3 linked regions of the Chlamydomonas reinhardtii genome follow. The protein of the gene in region 3 binds, or shares a complex with, the protein of the main gene of each other region. Links are inferred from orthologs where the notes say so. Each region holds a gene or a part of one and is shown on either strand. Other genes may lie near its edges. The genes, in order: CHLRE_12g498050v5, CHLRE_12g487600v5 and CHLRE_13g573450v5.

Region 1 (6,309 bases), on a different chromosome or scaffold from region 3:
TGTTTCTATAGATAGATAGGCCAACCCTGGAGAAGTGCACACAACAAAACACACGCACACGCCACACACACCTGCACCACCTCAGACCAGCTGCCAAGCATAGCCAGACACGGCCGCTCGACTGCGTGTGATGTGGACGTGGCAGCTGATGCCGGTGCGCCTGGTCCATGTCGAGCAAGCGCAACGACATCAACAGGCCCTGAGTCGGCCGCCTCCGGCTCCGTTGCCGGCTGGCCTCTCAGAAGCAGCCCCTCTTCTAGCGCCGCCACCCCTTCAGAGGCAAACTCGCGCAAACCCTGCAGAGCCCGTCGCATTGCGGACGCCAATCTGCCAGCGCCGCCGCCTGCGCCCTCACCACCCGTGCCAGTAGCTGCCGCAGCGTGCCGACAGGAGGGATATGGCAGCGGGGGCGGGGGTGCCAGCGGCTGAGCATGAGGCAAAACAGGATTGGCGGGCCCGCCCATCCTGTTTTGCGGTGGCTGCTGCTGCTGTTGCGGCTGCGCTTGCGCCGACGGTGCAGCCGGTGCGGCTCTTCGTGGCAAGGGCGGCGGTGTCATCCCCTGCGGCACCCGCTCCCATGACACCTCCTTGCCTACAGACTGGTTCACCACCTACGTGTGCAAACAGAAAGCGCGGCCGCGGCGTGGCGGTAGCTAGGTGGATGTCAGGGTACGAGGACATATGCGTGGATTGACACTGGGTACAACCGTACGTGCAATCGTCCCCAAACCTACAGGCAACCCTACTGTAGTTTTGGGCTTAGCGCGGCCGCGTATTCCCTGACCCGCATGCACCCTGCCACTCACCCAGGCCGTCCTCTCCACGCCTCCTCCCCACAGCGTGGGTGTATTGCACTCCCGTCGGAAGCCCTGTTGGTGCAGGCACGAAACAACGAGGGGATGGTCTCGACATAAACGCTGGGTCCCATATGCCCCAGCTCACTATCCAGCACGCTATTTGCCATAGATTGCGGCTTTGCATTCGGCACTCACGGGGTTGCGCAGCAGGTTGCGGCCGCACAGGGCGAGGTACAGGTGGCCCAGCCGCAACGGGCGGGACCCCAGCGCTTGAAGCGCTGCCAGCTGTGACTGCGTGCGGATGTGGGTGCGGTTGCGTCATCGTAATGCACAGGTCGCGCGCTGTGTGGGGGTGGTCGGGCACCTTGAAACAAGAAGCAAGGCCCAACGCACCAGCGCATGTGGCGGAATGTGCTCCTGCCACACCGATGTCTCCATCGTTGCAGCCCGGAAAGTCGTGCAAACTGATGGAACAGACAGTGCCAGCGTCTCAGCGTCCACCATTGACAGGATGGTATTGAGGAGCTCCCCGGGCAGGTCGACTAATGTTGGCGGCGTTGCGGTCGCCTTCATTTCGGCAATGCGGGTTAACATGTTTGGGCTGGGACAGTCACGCTCGCTGCTAGCCGGCATTGAAGTGACTTGTTTGCAGACAATGCAGGCTGCGTCGCGCGTAAGCCGTGACCGTAATTACTTCGTGTGCGCGTGAGACTGGCCTCGAGTTGACACCGCTGCGAGTGCGAGTTCTAGGGCTTATACGGCATGAGTGCCTTGGAGGCACATAAGTGTATACGTGAAACTCTTATCTTATGAGGACCTGACATTCGTGCAGAGGTAGCTACCCTCACTGCGCTGTCTGTGAAGGTGGCCGTTGGATCCAGCGTCTTCATCAAAAGGGCCTCAGTGCCTCACTGCCTCACCTTCTGCACAGACTGGAGAACAACCTCAATGTAATGTGTATCACTGCTTAGTAGCAAGCAGGCAAGAGTGCAAGACCAAGAGCTTGCGCTGCCAGGCCAGCCAGGCTCCGCCCCCCCCTGGGCCCAACCGCGTCAGACATTGCCGCTACGGGTTGGGCGAACCCTTTCTGCTTGTGCTTGATGAGCATGCAAGGGTGGGGGAGGTACAGCACGTTCTACTTCGGCCCGCCTGTCATGTCTAGATATGCGTACCGTGGGCGGCATAGTGACTTAAAACCTTTGGGGGTCCAAGAGACGAGGGGGGGGGGGGCGCTTGAGTGTGTGTCGATCTGACGAGCGATGCAGCCGAAAGGCTGCCCCTATGCCGACCCCGCTGGCTATCAATACCTAAAGCTCTCAAACAAGCAGTTTCGCGTCCTCTACAAGTCGAGTGGCCCGTCGTGAAGGTTACTTACGTTTGCTTTGAGCGCTCGGGCTCATCGGATGGCAAAAAGGAACTGTAACTAATCTAAACGTTAGATAGCACGCAAGAGCTGCTTGACTTAGATAGGATGGCAGCAACGGCGAAGCGGAAAATAGATGAAGGGCCCGCTGACGGCGAGCCTGACACGTCCACGCATGCACATATCATTCCTCTAGGAGCTGGCTCAGAAGTGGGCCGCTCATGTATTATCTTCAAGTACCAGTGAGTGCGGGGTGATCGATGGCCAGCACGCTCGTCGCGAACGCTTACATATACGCACCGCACACAGGGACAAGACTGTTATGTTTGACTGTGGCATCCATCCCGCCTTCAAGGGAATGGATAGCCTGCCCCTGCTGGACGAAATCGACATTGACACGGTGGACGTGGCGCTCATCACCCACTTCCACCTGGATCACTGCGCCGCGGTCCCCTACCTGCTGCGAAAGACCCGCTTCAAGGTGCGGGATGAATGTGGCGGTAGGGCAGGGGTTGGAGGCTGGGCGGCATGATGGAGCTGCTGTTGCGGAGGGGCAGTAAAGCACAGACTCAGCCGGGGTGCAAGGCCCGCAAGCGCAGTACGTCGCCCGCCAGCAGAGGCGTGGGTCCGCGGCGAACGCTGCGCACGTCGGTGCCGCCCAGGATTGGGCGGGTTTGGTGGGTTTCAGTATAGCGTACTGCCTCCACTCGTCATCCTCCGGGGCCATGCACACACGGCGCAACCCGCTCTGCCCCCCGCCCTTCAACTCCACACCCCTATCTCTGCTGCCCGAATGCCGGGATTACTTGCTGCGTTTCCTGCTTGCTTGCACCCTTGCCCCTGTATTTGATCCATTGCACATCCTCCGCTCCCCTCTCCTCCCCTCCTCTCACTGGACAGGGCCGCATCTTCATGACGCACCCCACCAAGGCCATCTACTACTCGCTGCTGCGGGACCTGGCCAAGGGCTCCAAGCACAGCAGCGAGGTGCGGGGCTGGGGGGATAGTTCATTCGAATCCTAAAATAAAGGGGGGTAGCCATTCATGCGAATGGCTAAACTAAGCCAAGCCAAATTAGCGGAGCACAGGCAAAGGCGGCAGTCGCCAGCGAGAAGACTTACGGGAGGTGGGGGAGGGCGCCCGTGGCGGCCCGGAAGGAGGGAGAGGGAAGCCGGGTTTTACTCACGAAGGCTGTCAGGGCGCCCTATGTCCTTGTCACCCCCACCCCGCCCCCCCCCCCCACACCAAATCGCCGCGATGCCCCTTCTGCCGCCCCCTTTCTCTTTACAATCTTGATGATCATGGAAACGGTGCAAACAGCTTGCTTCCACTTCTCCTCGGGTTCTTATTGGCCTCCGGAACGAACTTCCCCTTTCCCTCCGCCTCCCCGCCTGCAGGAGGCTTTGTTCAATGAGGACGACCTGGAGGCCAGCATGCAGCGCATCGAGGTGGTGGACTTCTACCAGACCATCGAGGTGGCGGGAATGCAGGTGCGATCGGGTGTGTGTGTTGGGGGCGGGGGGCGGGATGTGGGGGCGAGGGGGCAGCGGGGAGGTGGGAGGTGGTGGTGGTTGGGTGGGCGAGTTGGTGGCTGGGTCGGTGGGCGCGTCAGTCGGTGGTGCGGGGCCGGGCAGCACCGGGGTGGGGGCAGCGCAAGTGGGGAGGGTGGGGTGCAGCAAGAGCACGCTGGGACAAATGCGCGGGCCGCTTCCCGGATCACACGCCACGGATCAGCGCCAGGTCCCGAGGCGCTGATCCGCGCCGTGTGGCCTGCATGGTGTGGCTGCTGCTCGCGCTCTGTCGCTGCACTGCTCGCCCGTACCAGCTCCCCTTTCTTCCCCCCGGGCGGCTATACCTTGATTATTGGGACCTACCGTGTTTCGTTAGGCTTGCGCACACAATCCCCCCTGCTGCTGCCCTTGCGCCTGCAGATCACGCCGTACCGGGCCGGCCACGTGCTGGGTGCCGCCATGTTCCTGGTGGAGGTGGCGGGCTGCAGGTGCCTCTACACAGGCGACTACAGCCGCCTGCCGGACAGGCACCTGCCCGCGGCAGACATACCGCCCGTCAAGCCGCACATAGGTGAGCTGGTGGCGGCGGCGGCGGCTGGAGCGAGTGGTGGAGGGTAGGGACACAGGGTAGGGGCCCCGGCGGGGCTTGGTGGCGGGGTGCGGGCGGTGCGGGTCATGGTGGGCCAGCAGTGTCCCTGTTGCCCTTGTTCATGCGCATGCGTGGAGTGGATTGCGATGCGAATTCTCATGTTGTTGCTGCTGTGCTGCTGTGCTGCTGTGCTGCTGTGCTGCGGTGCTGCTGCTGCTGCTGCTTGCTGCAGTGATTGTGGAGAGCACGTACGGCACCAGCCGGCACCTGCCCCGCCTGCAGCGCGAGCAGCTGCTGCTGGACACCATCCGCAACACCATCAACCGCGGCGGCCGAGTCATCATGCCCGTGGTGGCGCTGGGGCGCGCGCAGGTGGGGCAGCCGGCGAGCGCGAGGGGAACTGGGGGAGGAGGATACTTGTCAAAGCAGCCATGGCTGGTCGGCGGGCTGTGGTCTCGCGCACGCACTGCCAGTCCCGCGCATCCATCCCTACCCATCTCATACCCAATGCAATCTACCTGCCGTGTGGCCACGCCGCCTGCCTGTGCCCCCACTCCCGCAGGAGCTGCTGCTGCTGCTGGACGAGTATTGGGAGGCGCACAAGTCGGAGCTGAGCGGCATACCCATATACCAGGTGTGTGTGTGTGTGCGCTTGTGCGCTTGTGCGCTCACCAATGCGCACTCCGACTGCTGGCGGCACCCAAGGGCTGGCATGTATTAAATCTTTGCTGCCTAGCTTCTCAACAACGCACCCAGTAGCAACGCCTACTCCTTCAGAACCTCCTCCACTCTTCTCCGGCCGGGCCCCCCCCCCAAATCGTCGTACAAAGTAGTATGCATGGACCCCACCCACCCGCCCCACAGGCCAGCTCTATGATGAGCAAGGCACTTGGTGTGTACCAGACGTACGTGGAGTCACTCAACGACGACATCAAGAGGGTCTTCCACGTGAGCAGCGGCGAGGCCAAGGGGGGCGGGGCCAAAGGGGGCCAAGGGGGCTGGTTGGGGCCCCCTTGAGGGACAGCGCCCGGTAGCTCGACATGCGGCGCCTGCGGCTTGGCCCAACCCGTGCTGACAGCCCCGCAGCGGTTTTCCCATTATGTACTTACTGTTGCAGTTGTTGCCCTCGTCCAGCGCTCTCCGACCGCTCCACGCGCTAACGATGTCTCCACCCCCTTTCCCTTGCCCCTCTGCGTCCCGTCGCGGCCCTTCAGGAGCGCAACCCCTTCAAGTTCCGGCATGTGCAGACGCTCAAGAACCCCGCCCACTTCATCTCCGACTACAGCGGCCCCTGCGTCATCATGGCCACGCCCTCGGGGCTGCAGAGTGGCGCCAGCCGGGACTTCTTTGAGGCCTGGTGCGAGGACAGCCGCAACACCTGCATCATCTGCGACTTCGCGGTGCAGGTGAGGAGAGGCGGGCTGTCAGTTTAGGGAGGGGCGTGTGTGTGCGTCCGTGCGTCGGTGTGCACGCTGTAGTGCTCAGGGGCGTTCACGTCTATGTGTTTGTTCGTCTGCGCGTCTGTGCGGGTGCAGTGCCAGGGCCTAAGGGAGTGGACGGGGACGGGTGCTGGACAGAGGCTTCCGTCACGGTGCTCCGGGCATGCCGCTTGCAGCCGGCATAACTTATGATTCGGTACCATACGTACCTCTCACGATGCCTAGCTCACCACCGCCGCCGCTGCCGCCCTCTCCACCGCAGGGCACTCTGGCCAAGGAGATCCTGGGCGGCCCCAGCTCCATCACCACCCGGGAGGGCCGCAGGGTGGGTGCCGCCTGGCCCGAGACCTCGCGGGGGCAGGGCCCGGTCCGCCCACCTCGAACGCCCCCTCCTAGCCAACGCGCTCGTTCAGTACTTAGCGTGCGGCAACGCTGGGCAAGACCCCAATGCCCCATCACTTAGCTCCGGCCCTGGGCGTCGGGCTTGCACAGTACTAACGGCAATGCCTCCCCAATCATGTCCACCGCCGCCAGGTCCCGCTGCGCATCGCGGTGCACAACATCTCCTTCTCCGCGCACGCTGACTACGACCAGACGTCCGGCTTCCTGG
Region 2 (6,373 bases), on a different chromosome or scaffold from region 3:
GCGTGCTGTAAATCAGGTCAGGGAACCTCCCCCCGCTCCCTCGTAAACGCCCCCCGCCTGTGTCACACACACGGTACACGCACACGCACATTTGCCCGCTCCGTGAATATGATGGTGTTGCGGGGCGCTGCCGCCCAATCCACCAGCAACTGGCGGGCCGGGCCGCAGTCCAGGGAGGGCAGCGTCGCCAACACAACCTGAGGGGGGGGGTTGTAAATACCAGCCAAAACTAAACCAAAACCAACTGAAAACGAGCGGAGCACAGGGGGGTTCCATGCATGATTTAATCAAGACGAGGTGTTGCTGACAGGTTGCAGCAGATCAGTCCTGGCGCGACCGGGTGGGGCAGCGGGAGAAAGCGGAGGGATGCCAGGTTTGGCTGCTGAGAGCATGGCCATTATGTAAAGCCGGGCATGGGACAGACTCCCCGCTGACGACCAAACGGGAGAATCCCAACGCATCGGGTTGGGCGTAACATGTAAAACACACATGGCCAAAAACGCTTCTACCCTGCAACGTGCTTCTCCACATGCACACACGACAACGCGCAGCCGCACCTTGGGTCCGGGTATGGCCCCCAGGTCTTCGAGCCGCGTGATGACGGCCAGCTTGCGGAAGGTGAAGGGGATGGTGCGCTTGTGGGAGAAGGCCTGCGAGGGAGAGGGAGAGGGGGGGCACAGGCGGGGCGTTGGCATTGTGGACCGTATTGGCATTGTGAGTTGGCGGGCGGGCGCGCCGGGTCAGCGGGCATGCCGGGCTGGCGCGTCGGGGCACCCACAGTCGGGTCCGCTGGCCGGGCCCCGGCAGACACACGCTGCCACACTCGGGCACACGCACATTCCAGTACACAGACTCTGTATCGAATGCACAGTCCTGCTTTCCTTCATGCTATGAAACACGCTCACACAAACGCGGCGTTGCTTGCTTGCTGATTCAGCGCGCACGGTGTCAACCCTCACCCTTGCGCTGCCGTAACACACGCATGCGCACACACACACACACACACACACACACACACACACACACACACACACGCACACACACACACACACACACACACACACGCACACACACCTGCACCATCTCGCTGCCCAGGTATTCGAGCTGCGTCCGCGCGAACTCCAGCACCGTCTTGATCGTGTACGACAACACCACAGGCGTGGCCGCAATCCTGTGGGTGGGTGGCGCCACGTGGGGAGTGGGAAGGGGCAGTGCCCGATCTGCGAAACTCCTGAGTCGACGAGGCGAGACCCCAACACCTTGTCGCACATATACACACACAAACACACATACATATACCTCCACATGCAAACAAGAAGTAAAGAGGTGATGACACGCGCACACACACGCACCTGGCCCGCGCGAAGTGCTCGTCCAGCAGCAGCGCCAGCTCCAACACTCGCCCCGCCGCGTCCGTGGGTATGAGCACGTTGCCCTCGCCCTCCACCGTGGCCGTGATGGCGTCTGTCACACCAAGAGGGGGGTACATTCTTGAAGAGTTAAGGAAGTGGTAGTGGGTGGGGGTTGTGAATACCAGCTCAAACTGAACCAAACGAAGCCAAACTAGCGGAGGGGGGAGCCGTATGCAAGACGGAGTGCATACATCACAGGGAGGGTTCCAGCCACCGCGACTCCCACTGCCCAAGCCATGGGCCCGCGAGCGAGCAACGAAGTAACGCCCAGCAACGCCCCAGCGTGCACACAAACGGCAAACGCGCCCGGCCATGACGCGCACGCACCCAGGAACTCCTCATCCCGCTTGTGTCGGGGCGGGGCCGGCGGCGCCAGGCCGTTCACCGCGTCGCCAATGAGCAGCGCCGGCTGCAGCGCCGCCAGTGCGGTGGTGAAAGTGGTCTCGTTCAGAAGCCTGTGGGGGGTGGGGGTGGCGGAGAGGCCGGCAGTCAACTCCAATCCCCACGTCACCGAGTCACCGGGGCCCAGAAGCCTAAGCAGCCCACAGCGGGGGAGAGGGAGTGGGCGGCGGCGCAACGCATAGGGCACCGTCATGTCAGCGTCGCATCACCGATGGCAAGGCCTCTGAGCTCCCCCCCCGGCTTTATTGCGCATGCTGCCTCCCCTTCTCTCCGTTGCTTCTACAGCTTACAGTGCATGGCGACAGACAATGCCTCCCCCCCCCTCCCCACGCGCCGCCCCCATCCCGCCGCCTCACCTCTCCTTGCGGTGGTTGAAGTCCACCGCATACACCACCTCCTGCCCACTGCCCAACAGCGTCAGCCGCCACACTGCACCGCCCGGGTAGCGGCCCGCAGGCAGTGGCGTGATGGCAATGCCGCCGCCCGCCGGCCCCTGACCCCCGCCCGCCGCCCCCGCTGCGCCCGCCTCGCCGGCTGTAGCACCGGGCGCCGCGGGCGGCAGTAGCAGGTGCTTCTGGCTGTAGCGCAGCTCGGTCCAGCGGGGGTGCAGTCGGAACCCGGCGTCCACGTCGTCTAGGTCGTATGCGGCGAAGTCCGACACGGCCTGGATACCACGATTCCCAGGGAGGGGGTAGCCGTTCATGCGGCGAATGGAGTGATTAGATAAGAGGGGGATTCCATGCATGATTGATCAAGACGCGGTGATGTTGACAGGTCGTTGCAGCAGGGGGGGAAGCATGAACAGCAAGGGAAAGGAAGGGGGCGGTAAGCTGACCGCATGGAAGGCCTTGATCGTGGGATACGAGGATGGAGACCCGTGCGCGGGATTGGACGACCACACAGTCTGTCCCGGCCTCGCCCGCAGACACAACCACCCATGCTGTCTTGACACGCTCGCACCTCCCAACCCGCCCCAGTGGCCCACACTCACCCGGACGCTCACAGGCATCGTGCAAACAAATCCCCTACAGCCATCCTGTACCTCTCCCCCAGCCCTTTCTCCCATTCTCCCACCCTCGGCAACCCCTTTATCCCGCGTTCAACATCTCTCACACTCACAGCACCCCGCTCCCCTACCCCTCTCCCCTTCCTCCCCTCTCGCCCTCCGCAACCCCCCCCCCTCCCCCTCCCCCTCCCCACCTGGTGCGCCAGGCACGCCTCGAACATGAACATCTCGCCCATGCGGCGAGTGGGCTTGGTGGAGAACACCGGCGCCGCCAGCCCGCAGCGGCCCACCAGGTAGGGCAGTGAGCCCAGGTGCGCGGGCGAGGGGTGGGACAGCAGCACCGCGTCGATGCGCGGGAGCACCCTGGTGGGGTGGTGGTGAGGGAGAGGATGAGGTGGCGGGAGAGTGCCGGGGAGCATGGGGATGGACAGGGGTGGGAGGGGGTGGCGGTGGAGGCGGAAAGGGATGCAGGCGGCGGCACACGCCGGACACAGGGACTCTTTGGGCAGAGTTCCAAAGACACGCCCCTTCCCTTGGCCCTTTCTACCCCTTCCCCACGCCCCTTCCCCCTGCCCATCCCTTCCAGTTCACCCGCCCTCCTGAAGTTCCCCTGAGCCACACATACGCACTTGAGCACTGGGTCCAGCAGCGCAACATCAAAGCTGTCGTCCCAGCCGCAGTCCAGGAGGATGGTGTAGTCGTCAATCTCTAACAGTGAGCACAGCGGCGAGTCCTCGCCAACGCCGCATAGCGGCGTGTACCTGACAACTGTCTCCATGCTTTCGCTAGGCTATAGTTCAGCGCCTCGACCTTCCCGGCGCGTCGCCCATTTCCGCGCGCTCGTGTGTTTGTATTGTCATGAGGTCTTAACGATGAATTGTCTACATTATGCTCATCTAAAGTGTGCTGGATCGCGTAAACAAGCACTGCAAGAAACCTGGCAAAACTACTTGCGCAAAAGACACAGCTCGCTGACGCAGATATGTGTTGAAATGCTTTGCTTTGAACTTGTAAGTGATGACCATCGCAATGGCCCCCGCGACAAACGTTTAGTGTGGCGCGATGGCCGGAGCGTGCCGGGTTTTCCCCTCCCTTCCCCGCCGTGTTGAAGTCGTCTCGGCCTGGCGCCGGGGCGCTGACATCTCACCGATGGCTGACATAGGTGACCGGTGTGTGCTGACATGCTCACAGGGTGGGAGTATATGACCCTCGTTTCAAGGTTACAGGACGGGATTCTTGAATCGGCGACTGCCCTCACATTGCTCGAACGCCACGCCAACAACTTCAAGCCGCTTCTTTTGTGGCATCGTGTTTTCCGTGTGGCTATCATACTAGGAGGCGCACTGAGAAGCGGCGGTAACAAACGCAACCCTGCTCCTTTCCAGCACCTCGACCATTTGGATGTGTTCGGCTGAGCGTGCCCTCAACATGAACCGCACCGGGCGCCTCCCGTCACACCTCAGGATATCGCCACTGTGCTTTTCATGCAAACCTCCACCGGAACTCAGGGCCAGTCAGGGCTACCTATAATGGCCTGCGTGCGCGCGCACTCTGCGGACACGCCCCTACGGAACTTTTTAGCTGTTGGCCTGTTGTCACCGGTAGTCGTGTGCCATGTCAAGCACCCATCGTTCCGCGCGCTCCTGCACTGCAATTGCAAGTTGTCTGCCATCTGCTGGGATCTGGAAATCAGCTGCACCCTACGGAACTTCACCAACCTGCCTTAGCACTGTTCCATCGCACACCCATCGACCACGGCCATCAACTCACTACATACGTGCCCGCATGCAGAATGCCTGGCACAGCCATACGCCATCCAGTCCCACAGCAGTTCATATGTTGCATAGAAGGCATCAGCACTTGAGCCAGCACCAGCACCCACAGCCGCCAGCGGGCAGGCCTCACAGCCGGCGAGGAGCCAGTCATGCAAGCGGGGGAGCGGCGGCGCCCGACGCCCCAGCCGGGTGCGGGTGGGGCTTCGGGCAGCGCCGCTCGCCTGGTGGGAAGGGGCAGAACGAACACCACGGACAAGGCCTGTCAGCATGCGGACGTGCTGGCATCTTAGAAATACGTGACGCGGTGACGGATGCAGGCACATGCGGACATGCCATGCACTCGTCCGGACATACCGCCACCCACGGCACTGCATTCTGGCACTGCCTGCCCTCCGGGTAGTCCCCAAGGTTCTGGTAAAGCGCCTTTTGGGCCACATAGCGTGGCCACATAGCCTTCAAGTTCCATGTGAGGACTCCGACGTAAGCGCATTCAGTGCTGCACACCGAACACACTATCCCGGGTATACCCACCCGCGCATGACTGTCTCCGCGCCGCGGGAGGTGTGCCCGCCGGCTTAGGCAGGTAGGTAGGGTGCCTTGGGCTGGCTTGCACTTTGGTACTGACACGCCGCCAGGGTGTAGCGGTCGAGGCCCTGCGCACATGCATGACCCGATCAAGCGACGCATACTATGCATGGATAACGCTTGCGAATGGCAGGCACATTGTAAGACTGCGAACCAGCGTCCACGATGGCAACCAATCCGGCGCCACACCGCTTGTGTTGCACGGCCGGGCTATTGTCTTGCACATATTGATGTAATCAACAAGTATGAGTATTGATGGAACAGCAGGCGGCTTGGCTAGAGCTAATGGAGGAGTCGCTTTCGCGCTTTCATTGGAGCATCGGAACCGCTTGTCGTTAATTTGAAACTATTTGATTATAGCGATGCAATTCTATCAATTTACGGTACAATGCAAGGGCGTGTGCCCAGAGGATGGGTGGGTTGCTCGGTACTAACGGCTGCGGTGCAACGGCATTCCGTTCCGAGAAGTACCAGCCGTCTGCGGTTTGCCTTTGGCGACGCTGTTCGGGTGCTGGTGTTTGTGTAAGCTGGTTGCTTTTTCGGGCGCCTTTGTCACTGCGTTAAGCTCGTCCTGCTGCATGCGCCTGCGCCTGCCCTGTAAAGTCGCGCATACCCTCACGCACGCACCTCGGCTCCTTGCTCCTTCCACTGTTCCACAGGGCAACTTGTACCCACACAGGCTGCCACAGGTTATTTTGTGCGTCAGGCCGGCTTGCTTGAACATTCCACCCATGCATCTTTAACAGAACCTGCCGGTGTCGCGGCGCCCGCACGGGCCTCGTGAGCACACATCCCGGCAATCCAAGTTCGGCACTCCTCGGCACTCCCCAAGCAAAGCGTTAACTAAACACATGAAGAACATGAATAACATGCCATTGCTACTGACCCTTCATACCGTATACTTGAGCAAGCCTCGCATCGCATCCTTCTTGGCCCGCATAACGCCGAACTCACAGCTACCGTTGCATATTGAACCTGTGCGTGTGTGTTCTGCGTCCCTCTACGCCCAACGCGCCTAAGCCCTGCGACCGCTGCTGCGGGGGCCGGGCGCCCCCATAGGAGCTGATGTTAAACGCACAGACCGACTGACACCGTCCACCACAAACAGGCTCTGGGCAGCAGCACCGCCCAAGGGACTGCCGCCGCCCCAGCCCCACCCAGCAACATCCTTGCTGCCGCTCGCGCTAGCACAG
Region 3 (5,703 bases):
GGGGGGTTTTGGCGTGTGGGTGTGGCGTGTGGGGTTTGGGTGTGGGGTGGGGTGGGTGCCTGGGTGGGGTAGGGGTTTGGGCTTCGCCATCGGCTGAAAGAAGCATGGGACGCCGAGATGGTGCAGAGCGAGCGGGGTGAGATGAAATGGTCGTGGTGGCGATTGTGTTCTACTTGCGTGTTGCGCCCTGCACTGAGAGTCGAGAAGCATCCCCGCACCTGCCCGGATCGGGCTCAACAGTGCATCCCCCTCCTGCTGCTGCTCCATTCCTGCTGCTGCTCCCACACAGGGTGAGGCGCTGGAGGCTCTGAGCGGCTGCTCGGGTGGCGCGGGCAGTGCGGCGGCTGTGGGCAACAGCTATGTGCTCAACCTACACAAGATGATGGGTATCCGCGAGGTGGGGGCCGAGGGGCGGGCGCATGTCCGCGATGTGGGGCGGGGGGTTGCGAGAACCAAACCCAGAGCCTTGCACCGGTCCTGACACGCATCCCGGCTATCGTACGGCACCCCCCGATGGCTGTTCTCCTACCGTCTACCATTTCCTTAGCTTGTATAATTGTAACCTCCTGCCCACGACTAGTCGTGCCTGGAACCTCCCTCTCCCCCTCCCCCTCCCCCTCTTAACTAGTCATGAATGTAACCCCTCCCCTGCCTCCCTCAGGTCCGGGACTGTGTGTTCCTTCACGGCTACACGGAGCCGGTGCTGCTGCTGCTGCACGAGCCCGACCCCACCTGGGCGGGCCGCCTGCGGTGAGGCGCCCGGTGGCGGAGGGGGGGGGCGGAGGGGGGGGGGCCGGGGGGCGGAGGGGGGGGAGAAAAACGCGGGCTGGAGGTGGTTGGGGCTAGCGGTGGTCGGGGCTGGAGGTGGTTGGGGCTAGCGGTGGTCGGGGCTGGAGGTGGTTGGGGCTAGCGGTGGTCGGGGCTGGAGGTGGTTGGGGCTAGCGGTGGTCGGGGCTGGAGGTGGTTGGGTGGGGCCAACCCGTGCTGTTACGGTGCATTCAGAGGCGCATTGTCACTGTTTCGGGGTTGCGGACGTCTAGAGGCGCGCATGCGTGTGGCCGTGGGGGCCCGGGCTGGTTCCGCAGGGCTGGCACACCACAAACCCCTGCCCCTTGCCCACCGCCGTCCTGGCAACTAGCCATGCCTCCTCCACCTCCCGTTCACCCGGCCCCCATCCCCATCCCCATCCCGCCCCCCCCCTGTGGCCCCCACCCAACCCCCCTGGCTCACCCCCCAGCGAGCGCAAGGACACGTGCTGCCTGACCGCCATCTCCGTGTCGCTGCGCCTCAAGCGCCACACCGTGCTGTGGCGCGCCGCCGGCCTGCCCTACGACTGCTACCGCCTGCTGCCGCTGCCGCAGCGGCCCGCGGCGCTGGTGCTCAGCCCCAGCCTGGTCATGCTCACGTCGCAGGTGCGTGGGCTGGGGCTGGGAGGGGCAGAGCACAGCGGTCGAGCACGGCGGTAGGGCACGGTGGACGTGTAGATAGGTTACAACATGGAAGGGTGGGCATTGTGGCATGCTCAGGCGGGGTATGCGGTCGGGTAGTAAGGTGGGTGACCAGTGCGTGCGGTGCGTGCGGTGCGTGCGGTGCGTGCGGTGCGTGCGGTGCGTGCGGTGGGAGGGGAGCCAGCCCCCATGCAAAAGAGTGCTGGTGGCGCCATTCCTTCACTGCTTCTGCTCCTGCTCCAAATCGCCAATCCCCCAACCGCTCACAAGAATGCCTACCCCCCTTACCCCCACGCCACCCCACCCCCCAGGCCTCCCAGCCCCAGGCGGCGGCCCTCAACTCCACCGCTCTGCCCGGCGAGGCGCCGCCGCCGCTGGTGTTCGACCCCGCCCGCGAGGCGCCCTCCGTCACCGCGGCCCGGATGGCGGCGGAGTTCGCGCTCAACGTGCACCCGGTGTGTGTGTGTGTGTGTGTGTGTGTGTGTGTGTGTGTGTGTGTGCGTGTTTGTGTGTGTGCGTGTTTGTGTGTGTGCGTGTATGCGTGTGTAATTGTGTTTGTGTATGTTAGCAAAGCATCATCACTCCGAAGTCGGGGAAAGGCTGGACTCTGCGCATGTTCTCACCCCTCGCCTCTCACCCCTCGCCTCCCTTGTCCCTCTCTCTCACCTCCCACCTCCCACCTCTCGCCTCCCGCCTCTCACCTCCGTTGCTGCTGCTCAGGACTGCGCCCCCGCGCTGGGCCGCTCCGCCGCCCTGGTGGGCGACCTGGAGGCGGTGGCGGCGGGCGCCAGCGCAGCCTGGCTCAGCCCCACCACCTGCCTGCTGGGTGAGGCGTGGGGGGAGGGAGGCGGTGCAGGAGGAGGGCTGTGGGGGCCGGGTCGGGGTTGCAAAGACGGTACAGAGAAGTACAGAGAAGTGTAGCGAGGTAGACATGGCGTGGTTGACTACTCCAGCTTTGGAGGACTGGGTCGACGAGCTGAAGCACCGAAGCGGTTCGGCGGTTGCAGGACGGGTTATGATTGAATGATTGTTGTTGTCGTGATACGACCTCTACCCCATTCTCCCTATATCAGGGGAATGACTCGCAAGTAATAGGCCCTGTTGGGGTCATTCTGTAGTTCACGACAGTTGTCATCAGCCTGACACCGCGCTGCCCCACTCCACCTTGCCTCCCACAGGCCTGCAGAGCGGCTCGCTGCTAGCGCTGCACCTGCGCCTGGAGCCGCACGTGCCGCCGGAGCAGCGCATCACCGCTGTGCGCACAGGCGGAGGGCCGGTGGCCACAGCCATGGTGGGGGGGCAGCTGGGAGGGTCGGGAGCTGGGGGTTGGAGGTGATACCGGCCCAAACTAATCCAAACCCAATGCAAAAGAGCGAGCGGGGTGGGGGTTAATGTGCCCGAGCCCGGTGAAAAAGTCCCATCACACGACGGGTTGTAGGGGTGGGCTGGAGAATGCAGGAGGGACTGGAGCGAGGGGCTGGGAGTTGACCTGGAGATGGAGACGGAGAGGGGGTCGGATTAGCAAGGCATGAACACGAGCGGGCCGGGAAGAACGCGAGCTGCGGCGTTTGGGGGGACACAAGTTGCAGCCATTGGAGCTGGGTGCGTGGCGGTAAAGCGGACCAAGGCTTGCGCGTGACGCCTCTGGTGCCCGGTGTGTAGTCCAGTCCTGGCAGTTCGTATCTTAGTAATGCCCTTCCGCTGTAATGCTCTGCCCTGTGCAGGTGGGACTCACAATGGCAGCGGCGGCGCGCGCGCCCGCCGCCGTGGCGGCGGCGGCCCTGGGCTCCGCCGCCGCCGCCGCCACTGGCAACCTACCGTACGATTTGTACCGCGGACCGAAGGGCCTCATCTTCCTTGGATCCTGGACAGGCGACTCCGTACTCATGCAGTTAAAACCGCGTACGGACAATGCGGCGGAGGGCCCGGCGGCGAAGCGTCAGAAGCGTGTGGGCGGGGCCGACATGGGTGGCGATGGCGGCGGTGCCGGCGCGGCGTTGACCAATCGCAGTGCGGCGGTGGCGGCGGCGGCGGCGGCGGGCGCAGCCGCCGCCGCCAAGGTGGCGGCGGCGGAGGGCGGCGTGGGGCCGCAGCGTTTTAACCTGCGGCTGTTGGACTCCCTGCCGTCACTGGGTGGGTTTCCAAAGGGTCGCGAGAAGGGTCACGTAAACGTGTCAGGTTATCACACGCGTGGCTGATACACCATGCGGTTACGCCTCCTTCTCTTCAGCTCTTACACACGCGTACACTTGTGCACCGCATTGCACACACCGTCCTGCGTGCCTCCTTCCATACCGCTCACTTGCGCATGCTCGCGCACATGTGCACTCGCATGTGACAGGCCCCGTGCGCGACCTCCTCCACGTGGACACCTCCGTGTCGCCGTACACCGCCGGCGGCGGCGGCGGCGGCCCCCTAGGCGCCAGCCGGGGCGGGCCCACCAGCTTCCTGTGTGTGGGGCAGGTGCGTGTGCGCCTTTGTGTTTGTTACTCCGTTGTCGTGCGTTGTAGCGAGATGTGGGCGTCGGACTGCAGCAGTCGATGTGCGCTCCTGCCAAGTGTGACTTGCACCCGCCCGTGCCGCATCCTTACCCACATCAACCACCATACAACCCCAGTCCACCACCACACATACACACACATTACACACACAGGGCAGCTTATAGCCGTATGCCGTCGCGTCGCTGCATCGCACACACATCCTTCGCGCTTACTTTTCCTTGCGCTCTTTACCACACACCACACGCACACACACAGGGCCAGACGGGCGCGCTGGTTCTGGCGCGTCAGGGGCTGGTGCCTGACGTGGTGACTGAGGTGGGGCTGGCGGGCATTGCCGGCGTGTTCGCAGTGCGGCACCGCGACCCAGACGACGACCCAGACGACGGCGGGGGCCCGGCCGAGGAGTTGGCGGCGGAGGCAGACGGGGCCGAGGTCGGCGAAGACGGTGACGGGGAGGCGGCGGCGGAGGGAGAGGCGGAGGGAGAGGCGGAGGGAGATGGCGAGGGAGAGGCGGGGGGCAAGGAGCGGGCTACGAGCCCCAAGCCGGCGGCAGTCAAGCCCCAGCCCGGGGGGACGGAGGCAGACGCCGCCGCCGCCGCCGCCGCTGAGGGCGCCGCTGCTACAGCCGTGAAAGCCGGAGAGCCGGCGGACGGAGCTCCTGCTACAGCCGCCGCTGCCTCGGGCGCCAAGCGCGGCCGCTCGCCGGAGCCAGTGGCGGCGGCGGGCGCCATCGTGCCTGTGTCGCAGCCGGGCAAGGGAGCGGGCGGCGGCGGTGGCGGCGGGGGTCAGCCCAGCTACCACGCCTTCCTGCTCATCACCATGGGCAGGGCGCGGACCATGGTGCTCAAGTGCGCCGAGGGGCTGGACGACGTCACCACCAGGTGTGTGTGTATGTGTGTGTGTGTGTGTGTGTGTGTGTGTGTGTGTGTGTGTGTGTGTGTGACAACGGTTTACAGTTGTTTATCAGATCACGTGATCGTGTATCCGGACAACCCGTAGTTGCTAGTGCCAGGGGCGCATTAGCACCTTGTTTGTCGCGCATGGGTCTGGCAGTACATGTCTCCCAAGCCTACGCGTAGCGTTAGACGTCAGTTTGGCCACAGGAGCCGCACCTCCATCTATTGTGGTTAGACACTGATTTGGCCCTAAGAGCCGCACCTCTGTCTATATTGTGAGACGTCGGTTTGGCCCTAGAAGCCGCACCTCCGTCTATATCAACACTGCTGCGAGCCGGCAGCTGGCCACTATGCATTGTTTGTTCGCCTAGCAAAAAGTCATGTACCGTCCAAGTCCGGCACGTGGCCGCAGCAACCGCAAAACAAGCACCCCGCCGGCACTAGCTACCTTCCCTTCCCCACAGGGCAGGATATGCCTAAGGGCAGCCACAAAGTGAGAGAGAGGATCAATAACCAAAACCGTCTGTGCCCTAGCCCTGCATTCCCAACAAGCCTAACTTCCGCTGGACTTAAACACACACACAATGCGCGCCCCTCTCAGTTATCCGCCATGTGCATTACTGCACGGGGTGTACGCAGCGCCGGTCCCCCTCCTCAGTGACGATGTCCGTGCCCCGCCAGTACGGCTGCAGACCCCGTTCCACCAGGCTGTCGAACTGGGCTTGCCGCGCGCGCCTAGCTGCCCGCCCCTCCGGCGTCAGGAAGGGGGCCACCGTCACGCCTGCGGTGTGTTTAATCTGCGCCGCAGCCCTGATGGAGGCCGCCCGCTGATCCCTGGTCACCACTACCTCCACATTC

The links.
Region 1: CHLRE_13g573450v5 (region 3) and CHLRE_12g498050v5 share a complex: the UniProt entries of both Arabidopsis thaliana proteins name them as parts of the CPSF complex. The link is inferred for Chlamydomonas reinhardtii from reciprocal best matches to the Arabidopsis thaliana genes CPSF160 and CPSF73-I.
Region 2: CHLRE_13g573450v5 (region 3) and CHLRE_12g487600v5 share a complex: the UniProt entries of both Arabidopsis thaliana proteins name them as parts of the CPSF complex. The link is inferred for Chlamydomonas reinhardtii from reciprocal best matches to the Arabidopsis thaliana genes CPSF160 and CPSF100.

The regions. Positions count from the first base shown.
Region 1 is NC_057015.1:3,285,044-3,291,352, reverse strand, and holds the start of CHLRE_12g498050v5 (uncharacterized protein), read left to right. Parts: upstream 1-2,104; 5' UTR 2,105-2,268; coding exon 2,269-2,402; intron 2,403-2,469; coding exon 2,470-2,641; intron 2,642-3,060; coding exon 3,061-3,147; intron 3,148-3,557; coding exon 3,558-3,650; intron 3,651-4,091; coding exon 4,092-4,242; intron 4,243-4,492; coding exon 4,493-4,632; intron 4,633-4,822; coding exon 4,823-4,894; intron 4,895-5,124; coding exon 5,125-5,208; intron 5,209-5,474; coding exon 5,475-5,666; intron 5,667-5,961; coding exon 5,962-6,024; intron 6,025-6,233; coding exon 6,234-6,309. Other genes in the region: CHLRE_12g498000v5 (uncharacterized protein), read right to left, coding at 72-611, 807-869, 993-1,088, 1,191-1,370. UniProt on the Arabidopsis thaliana protein: Component of the cleavage and polyadenylation specificity factor (CPSF) complex that play a key role in pre-mRNA 3'-end formation, recognizing the AAUAAA signal sequence and interacting with poly(A) polymerase and other factors to bring about cleavage and poly(A) addition.
Region 2 is NC_057015.1:1,469,701-1,476,073, reverse strand, and holds the start of CHLRE_12g487600v5 (uncharacterized protein), read right to left. Parts: upstream 3,840-6,373; 5' UTR 3,599-3,839; coding exon 3,450-3,598; intron 3,184-3,449; coding exon 3,015-3,183; intron 2,479-3,014; coding exon 2,171-2,478; intron 1,868-2,170; coding exon 1,740-1,867; intron 1,465-1,739; coding exon 1,353-1,464; intron 1,172-1,352; coding exon 1,075-1,171; intron 651-1,074; coding exon 558-650; intron 198-557; coding exon 90-197; intron 1-89. Other genes in the region: CHLRE_12g487652v5 (uncharacterized protein), read right to left, coding at 4,743-4,816, 5,127-5,262; CHLRE_12g487650v5 (uncharacterized protein), read right to left, coding at 6,196-6,373. UniProt on the Arabidopsis thaliana protein: CPSF plays a key role in pre-mRNA 3'-end formation, recognizing the AAUAAA signal sequence and interacting with poly(A)polymerase and other factors to bring about cleavage and poly(A) addition. Required for antisense-RNA-mediated gene silencing.
Region 3 is NC_057016.1:1,601,130-1,606,832, forward strand, and holds part of CHLRE_13g573450v5 (uncharacterized protein), read left to right. Parts: intron 1-289; coding exon 290-397; intron 398-661; coding exon 662-750; intron 751-1,237; coding exon 1,238-1,412; intron 1,413-1,759; coding exon 1,760-1,903; intron 1,904-2,168; coding exon 2,169-2,274; intron 2,275-2,626; coding exon 2,627-2,739; intron 2,740-3,172; coding exon 3,173-3,581; intron 3,582-3,789; coding exon 3,790-3,911; intron 3,912-4,204; coding exon 4,205-4,830; intron 4,831-5,703. UniProt on the Arabidopsis thaliana protein: CPSF plays a key role in pre-mRNA 3'-end formation, recognizing the AAUAAA signal sequence and interacting with poly(A)polymerase and other factors to bring about cleavage and poly(A) addition.